Macaca mulatta: one gene and its partner. The protein of the gene in region 2 purifies or fractionates together with the protein of the main gene of each other region. This does not show direct contact. Links are inferred from orthologs where the notes say so. Each region holds a gene or a part of one and is shown on either strand. Other genes may lie near its edges.

Region 1 (4,535 bases), on a different chromosome or scaffold from region 2:
TCAATTATCATGTGTTCCATGCTCAAAAACCTTTAATGATTTCCTCCCGCACTGAGAACACACAGACTGCTAAGCCTGGTATCCTAAGTTTACTGGGACCCAGTAAGTCTTTTTCCCAGACTTCCCAGCAACTCCCCGTCCACCTTCTCTGTGCTTCACTCATGCAGATCAACCTGCCAAGCATTTCCCCTTCTTTGGGTCTTTTTCCAGGCTGTTACCATCACACACATCAGGTCAAGCTCAACACTGCTCTGGCACTAAAGGCTTCCTATAGTTTGTCACATTCCACTAAATTTTCCTCTTACTTGGCTCAGTTCTACCTCCACAATGTTATCTACAGGGCTCAAACATGCCCCGCCTGAGGCATTCAGGCCAAGACAGCTAATTGACTTTGGTCAATCCCATCTCCATCCAGAACCTACTTCCTCATTTCTCATTGCATGTCCGTTGTTTACTGCTCTTCCTGTGCCCAACACAGACCATGTCTCATGTCCTATTCTGCACACACTCCAACCACACTGCTCTTCCAGATACCCCACAGATTGGGTATCTGGAAGTGCTCACCATCAACCCGTATGTGTCTGATTTTTTTAAAACGTTCTATTATAGAAATTTTGAAAAATGAACATTAGTAGAGAGGGCATCATGAACCTTGTATTACCTTGCTTTAACAATTAACACTATTTCCTCAATGTCATTTTTGACCCTTCCTCTCCCCATCTCTGGAGTTTTTCAGGCCAAGGCGGGCAGATCGTGAGGTCAGGAGATCGAGACCATCCTGGCCAACATGGTGAAACCCGTCTCTACTAAAAATACAAAAATTAGTTGGGTGTGGTGGCGTGTGCCTGTAATCTCAGCACTCAGGAGGCTGAGGCAGGAGAATCGCTTGAACTAGGGATTGGGAGGCTGCAGTGAGCCGAGATCACGCCACAGCACTCTAGCCTGGGCAACAGAGCAAGATTCTGTCTCATACACACAAAAGGTATATTATTTTACTCAGCATTTCAATGATACTCTAACACGGATATTTTTAATTGTCTGATTATAATTGCTGTAAGACTCTTTAAAACTTTTAAAATTATTTAGACATGGTGTCTCACTGTCGTCCAGGATGGAGTGCAGTGTGATCTTAGTTCACTGCAGCCTTGAACTCCTGGGCTTGAGCGATCCTGCTGCCTTAGCCTCCCAAGTAGCTGGGATTACAGACATGAGCCACCATGCTCAGCTCTGCTGTGACTTTCTTATGTAGTATTTTAACCACCAATTTAACAGGTAGCTGCGATTTAACAGGTAGTTGTGATTTTACTTTGTCACAGATAACATTTGTATTAAGAGTTAATTTTTGTTTCAGATCATCTATATTTTGATTTTATAACTTGGAAGTAGCTGATTCTAGCTATCAGGATTCCAGGAGTCCCTTCAGCTCCCAAATATGCAGACTGAGATTTACAAGTTAAATAAATAACTTATTTAACCTGCTCAGTGTGCCAAATGCCTATTTCTCAAACCACTTAGGGTAGCACATTCCAAAAGAAACAAAGCGAGCTTACCCAGCTTTTGTCAGACCGTTTTCATCTTTATACTTACTTCCCTCAGAAAAGCAATATACATAGTTGTCATCTCAGCTCACTTTATTCCCCCGCAAGGCTTTCTATACAAACTTCTAATTCTAATCTGTCTTCTGCTCTATTTCCTTTTTCTCTTCCCACCCATGATTTTCTTTTGCTTTTTGAGATGCAGTCTCACTGTGTTACCCAGGCTGGAGCGCAGTGGTACGATCTTGGCTCACTGCAGCCTCCACCTCCCAGGTTCAAGCAATTCTCCTGCCTCAGCCTCCTGAGTAGCTGGGATTACAGGGGCCTGCCACCATGCCTGGCTAATTTTTGTATTTTTAGTAGAGACGGGGTTTCGCCACGTTGGCCAGGCTGGTCTTGAACTCCTGACCTCAAGTGATCCACCCGTCTTGGCCTCCCAAAGTGCCGAGATTACAGGGGTGAGTCACCGCACCTGGTCTCCTTTTCTAATTATCTCCAACAACAGCATCTCAAAATGCACACAGTAGTCCCCCCTTATCCACAGGGGATACATTCCAAGACGCTTAGTGGTGGTCTAAAACCGCAGATAGTACACAAACCTTATATACATTGTTTTTCCTATATGTACCTAGGAATCAAATAATTATAATAATATACTGTAATAAAAGTTATATGAAAGTCATCTCTCTCAAAAAACTGTACTTTACTCACCTATTTTCAGACTGTAGTTGACTGTGGCTAACTGAAACCAAAGAAAGCAAAACCGTGGATAAGGGGGCACTACTGTATTCTGAGAAAACCGACTGCAGTTGAGGAAAAGGTACGTGGATATAAGTTCAAGCACACCATAGCATTGTAACTACATACAAAAACTCACAAGTGGGTTACAAATGATTAAACCTGATATATGCAATAAAATACACCGTACTTTTTTTTTTTAGATCCTAGATTTGTATCTTACATTAGTGAGTTAAAGTTTATCTTCTAAACTAGTTTAGGAATCATGCTGTCTGCCCAAGTCTTCAACCAGATTATCTTACTGATATCAAGAACAATAAAATCTAAGAGTAAAGCTTTGGAACACCACAAACATGATCCAACATATTAAGCTTATAATTACAAACCAGTAGAAGTGGATACGCTCTAACCTGGGTCATCTTCCTCATCATATTTATCTAAGTCGTACTCAGCCAGCTCATCCTCATCGAGCGTCCTGTCATCCTCTGGGTCACCATCCTCCAGGGGCTCTCTTGGGCGTGCCTGGGTGCGTGCACTCTGCATGCCATCTTCTGAAGGACTGCCTATCTCCTCTTCATCACTGCCACCACCACCTTCTCTATGAGCAGAGAAAGAAAAAGAGAATCACCCAAATGGCACCTTCCAATAACAAGACCACACCTGGTCATCATTTAAGATGCAGATTTCATCTGGTCCTAAACTTAACTGCAATTTCTCCTTTGCCTCAGCAATGAGACGTTTTACTTCTTCTTTACTCAGCTCTACCTGTAAGAGAGCAAAGATTTCATTACAATATGTGTAAGGAAATCATCAGAATTCTTTGAATTAAAAAGTAGTTTGCAAACAAATGTAAAATGTAATGCCAAGCAATGTCATCAAGATAAGAATCAAACATCTAGACTCTACATTAAAAAAATATAGATTTCGCCGGGCGCGGTGGCTCACGCCTGTAATCCCAGCACTTTGGGAGGCCGAGGCGGGCGGATCACAAGGTCAGGAGATCGAGACCACGGTGAAACCCCGTCTCTACTAAAAATACAAAAAATTAGCCGGGCGCGGTTGTGGGCGCCTGTAGTCCCAGCTACTCGGGAGGCTGAGGCAGGAGAATGGCGTGAACCCGGGAGGCGGAGCTTGCAGTGAGCCGAGATCGCGCCACTGCACTCCAGCCTGGGCGACAGAGTGAGACTCCGTCTCAAAAAAAAAAAAAAAAAAATATAGATTTCATAGATCCTTATAATTAAGATCCCTCCCCACCTGAAACTTCAAAAATTCATGCTCATTCTACTCTACCTCTCAGTCTTAAAACCCCAAAGACTGGTTTTGGTAAAGTGGCTCTGTGGTACTCCTCTGGTTTTCTTCCAACTATCTCTGACCCTATCTAGGGCACCTCCCTCTCTTCCCTGGGGGCATTCCTTAACAAACCACCCTTAAATTAGTCCTCTGTTTTCTGTTTTTTTTGGGTTTTTTTTGAGACAGAGTGTCACTGTGTCACCCAGGCTGGAGTGCAATGGCGCTATCTCGGCTCACTGCAACCTCCGCCTCCTGGGTTCAAGCGATTCTCCTGCCTCAGCCTCCTGAGTAGCTGGGATTACAGGCATGTGCCACCATGCCTGGATAATTTTTGTATTTTTAGTAGAGACAGGGGTCTCACCATGTTGGTCAGGCTGGTCTCGAACCCCTCACCTCGTGATCCACCTGCCTCGGCCTTCCAAAGTGCTGGGATTATAGGCGTGACCCACTGCGCCTGGCCTAGTCCTCTGTTCTTTTCCCTATTATCACTGCCACACCGTCACTCATCAGGCTCACGTCCTTGCAAAGCTCATTCATTCTCAAGACTGAAACCACCACCTCTGAACTGATTACTCCAAACTTTCTTCTCTCTAATCTTGTATTCCATTTTCCATTTCTCCAACTGCCTACAAGACTTCCCACCTGAATATCCTTTAGCCTAATATTACCAGGTTCAAAGCTGAATTCAATCTCTCTACTTCACAACTGACATTCCCTCACCTAATCAATGTTTCAGTACCTTTTAAAAACACCCCTATCACGGCTGAGTGCAGTGGCTCACGCCTGTAATCCCAGCACTTTGGAAGGCTGAGGTGGGAGGATTCCCTGAGCCCAGGAGTTTGAGACCAGCCTGGGGAACACTGGGAGATCCCCATCTCTATAGAAAATTAAAAAATTAGTCAGGCATGGTGGTACACACCTGTAGTCACTTCAAGAGACTGAGGTGGTCGGATTACTTGGAACCCAGGAGGT
Region 2 (4,535 bases):
ACAGAGGTATAAAAGTCAAAGCAAACTGCCTCCTGAATTCCTTCTGTTGCGTTTGTTAGTTTTTTTCTTTTCAAAATTTTGTAACAGAATATTTTGAACACACAGAAACGTAGACAACTGCACAATAAGCTCCATGTTCCATCTTCCACTTCAGCAGTAATCAACAATCTAGTATCATCTATTACAGTTCTCTTTGCCCCCTTTCTCCTTCAAATTAAAAAATTTTACTGACTAAAGAAAGCCTATGAGAAAGCCCATGAATTCTGAAATACATTTTGATATTATTGTGAAAAAATTGTAAAACTTAAAAACAGTATTTTAAAATATGCTATCTTTTGAGATCTCATCTGGTTTTATCCTATTTTAATACTGATTAGAGGATACAAAGATGGTGATCTCCCTTCTTTGGCGAAGTCAAGCGTCACTTCTTTTCTAAATTCCTCCTTCATCTTCCCTTAAGGAAATGCCCTCCTCCACCCATGCATGCAGGTGTGTCAGTTTTTAAACGTGTGTCCTAATAAGACTTGATAAAAACGTTTTCCACACACCCCTTGAGCAGCTTGAACATTTTGGTTGATTGTGCCTTATTTTCCCACATTAAAAAATTGTCTAGAAATGGGTGAGACCGTCTCAAAAAAAAAAAAAAAAAAAAAAAAAGAAAATATTTTTCTACCGATTAGTTCTGCAGGCTTGTTGGGTCTCTTATTAATGAACGTCTCAAAGGACTCCTTCATCAGGTTGACGAACCGCTCGTTCTTCTGGAAGCAGACCTCGATCACGTGGTCCACCTTGTCCTTGAAGTCCAACAGGTCTTGGACCATGTCTTTATCTTTCTCAGGATTGATGACGATCGCTGTCCCAAAAGTCTACAAAAGCAAATCAATACCAACTCAGCAATACGTTTATAATACCAAACAATATTTTTCCTGCTATCATATAATCAGGATAGTTTAATACAAATTACTCTTAGTAGTAAGCAATAACTTTAAAAGTTTCACAAATTGAATTCACATCTCAAAAATTAAGTGAATATACTTTTTGATTTATTTTTTAAGGCAGGGCCTCACTCTGTAGCCGAGGCTGGAGTGCGGTGGTACAATCACGGTTCACCGCAGCCTCGACCTCCCAAGCTCAAGCAATCCTCCCACCTCAGCCTCCTGAGTAGTTGGTGCTACAGGCTCAGGTCAGCACATCTGGCCAATCTTTTTAAAGTTTTGTAGAGACGCGGTCATGCTGCCCAGGCTGGTCTCGAACTCCTGGCCTCAAGCAACCCTCCCACTGTGATTTCCTGAAGTGCTGGGTTTACAGGCATGAGCCCTGTGCTTGATGTGAATATACAATTAAACACATTATTAATGCCTTGTTTTTACGATTCTGTTTCTGAGAGAACTTACAAATGACTGGGAAAATGTCCATTGCTTTTAAAAGAATGTTTATGTGTAAGTTCCTCCAAGACAAGGTAATTCTTATTAATTAAATATACCTCTTGGGACTTCTTAGCTAGTTTTCTTTCTCCATCACTTCAAATAATGAAAAGCTCATTTTTTAAGTTTGTATTTTTTTTTTATTTGAGACAGAGTCTTGCTTTGTCACCAGGCTAGAGTGCAGTGGCATGATTTTGGCTCACTGCAACCTCCTCCTGCCGCTTCAAGTGATTCTCCCAGGTAGCTGGGACTACAGGTGCACACCACTACACCCGGCAAAGTTTTGTACTTTTAGTAGAGTCGGGGGTTTCATCATGTTGGCCAGGATGGTCTCGATCTCTTGATCTCATGATCCGCCCGCCTTGGCCTCCCAAAGTGGTAGGATTGCAGGCGTGAGCCACTGCGCCCAGCCTAGTTTGTTTTTTTAATTAAAAAATGTTATATTAAACATTCCTAAAAGTGTGTGGCACTAAAAAAGTTAACTATTTGATGACATAAACTACATTTGCTCAAGAGGAACTGAATACAATTATTGGATTTAAAAAATGTGTCTCAATACAATGCACACGTGCACTCACATGTCACACACACACACGAGGTAGCTGGCCGGTGGAAAGATGCCAACAGAAGGCTGGGCGCAGTGGCTCATGCCTGTAATCCCAGCACTTTGGGAGGCCGAGGCGGGTGGATCACGAGGTCCAGAATTCAAGATCAGCCTGGACAATATGGTGAAACCCCGTCTCTACTAAAAATACAAAAATTAGCTGGGTGTGGTGGCGGGAGCCTGTAATCCCAGCTACTCAGGAGGCTGAGGCAGGGAAATGCTTGAACCCAGGAGGCAGAGGTTGCAATGAGCTGAGATCATGCCACGGCACTCCAGCCTGGATGACAGAGCGAGACTCTGTCTCAAAAAAAAAAAAAAAAAAAAAAAAAGATGCCAACAGAAAGGGCACAGCTTTACTTTGACAACGGCATGTGGAGTTGAATGGAAACCACTATTTTGTTATAGCATAACTGCTTACTGCTGACACTCAGGGGTGACGGTCACTCACTGATTTTTATTACCCAGACTGGAAACTGCAAAGGTGAACTTTTCCTAGTTTTTTAGCACATATTCTCATCCCCTGAAGACTGTCTCACTGGCAAAAAACCTAAATCTTCAGTAGCTTTATGGCCAATTTAGTGTGACTCAGTTGTAACTTCCAATTCAACGTCGCTGTACAAGACCTTGTGGGGAGAGCTGCTAGGTGTGCCGGCTTTGCATAGCTGGACTGATACGTGACTTGAGGTCTGATTATTCCATAAAGCAGCACGTAAGTGTTCATTTATCTTTTTTACTTAATGGAAATCTTATGAGATAATGAAAGTGCTGCATAATAGTAAAAATAGCAAAGCAATCCCAGTATCTTTGTTTTCCATAGTTTCCTCCAATGGCAAGTTTGCAAAACTACAGAACAGTATCTCAACCGGGATACTGACACTGATAACCCCCCAGGTCTTTTTCAGATGGCCCAGTTGACTTGTAACTCATCTGGGTGTGCACATCTAGACCTCGGCCAAAACCCCAACAGTTCCTGCAGAAGGCTACCTCCTGGGGCCTTTTATAACCACACACCCCGCTCCATCCCTACACCCTGGTAACTTTTCATCTGTCCTCCATTTCCAAATTTTGCCATTTCCAGAATGTTATGCAATAACATGTTAAGTATCTGCGATTGGCTTTTTTTTTTTTTCTCTCAGCGTAATTCTCTGGAAATTTTATCTATCTTTTCATTCTGGGATCTAAGAATAGTCACCAGCAAGCACACACACAGACTCCTGGTAAACGCTCACCATTTAAGCTGGAAAATTCATGCAACTGGCACACGCTGAAAACACGAGTTATCTGTGAAGGGGCCCTGATGTTTGCCTCAGTTCTCCTGTTTCTGTAAGGGGCATCTGGAGAATGGCTTCTCATTATAGAGGGTCTTCAGTAGGTTTCTTGGGCTGGGCAACACTGGCACTCTGGGCAGGCGATTCTCTGTGGTGAGGGCTGCCTCGTGCATTCAGGAGCACCCCGGGGCTGCCCAGCAGAGCAAGCAGTGCCCTCTCTGTTCAGACAGCCACAAACGTCTCCACACATCAACAAGTGTCCCCTTGGTGGGGTGGTGCCCTGGGCCGAGAGCCCCTAGTCTTCAGGGAGGTCCTATGTCAGCACCGAGGGGCTGTTCTCCTGGGCAGGACACGTGAAAACTCAGGGTACTGCCCAAGAAGCCACTCTATGACGGGTTAGATTGGGCTTGTCAGGGATGCCAAAGAAATGCTTTCGAAACATGAAAGCGAAAGTTTAAGTAACAAATCCTAAATTTGGTCTGTTAAGAAATAAAGTCTATAAAGCTACCTAATATGCCAAATAGATAATAGTTCTCACTGAGCTAAGGGCATGAGGAGATCTTGTCTGACAAGCAGATTTACAAAAATGATTACTTTCAGAAAAATCATGATTTAGAATTAAACCAATATTTACGCTGATGAAGAAGAGCAAAACTGTTGATCTTTAAGTTATACTTTCTACCTGGATGGTGCTAATCACTGCTGGTGTTATCTTAAAAAGCAAATTCACACTGGTGATGGGGAAGCAGATGGAACACTACCATCCACCCTATCATCTATGATGAAAATGCCAACCGGCCCTCCAGCAGCCCAGTTCCCTTTGTCAGGGCACTGGGTGTTCTCAGGAGGGGCTCTGCTCCCTGCAGGAAACGCCCGCGCCTGTGGCCTCGAAACCCCACCAGTACCTTGATGTACTCGCTCCAGTGCTGCAGCAGCGCCTGCTGCCCGCCCCTAACCCGGCTGAACAGCTGGTACATCTGCGCGAGGTCCGGCACTCTGTTCTCGTCCAGTAAGTGGTCAAGCCCTGAGATGTGCAGTACACGTCAGCAGAGTACAGCATGGGCAGCATTAACAACAATAACTCAACTAGAATACAGCGTGCAGGGTAAGAACGCCAATACACCGCTTAGAAACTGGGCGGCTCTACACATCACTGCCTGTATATGAGAAGGTTGATCTGGTTAAATATCTGAGATGGATCCTATTAGGTGAACCTCATTTTTTCTGAGTATGTTGGAA

The links. Proteins that work in one complex are often made in the same cells at the same time.
Region 1: the proteins of CUL4A (region 2) and PWP1 purify together in Homo sapiens (affinity purification with western blotting; 6 studies listed by BioGRID and IntAct, with this or other methods). This does not show direct contact. The link is inferred for Macaca mulatta from reciprocal best matches to the Homo sapiens genes CUL4A and PWP1.

The regions. Positions count from the first base shown.
Region 1 is NC_133416.1:114,886,593-114,891,127, reverse strand, and holds part of PWP1 (periodic tryptophan protein 1 homolog), read right to left. Parts: intron 3,039-4,535; coding exon 2,980-3,038; intron 2,872-2,979; coding exon 2,684-2,871; intron 1-2,683.
Region 2 is NC_133422.1:107,484,562-107,489,096, reverse strand, and holds part of CUL4A (cullin-4A), read right to left. Parts: intron 4,321-4,535; coding exon 4,202-4,320; intron 867-4,201; coding exon 674-866; intron 1-673. UniProt on the Homo sapiens protein: Core component of multiple cullin-RING-based E3 ubiquitin-protein ligase complexes which mediate the ubiquitination of target proteins. As a scaffold protein may contribute to catalysis through positioning of the substrate and the ubiquitin-conjugating enzyme.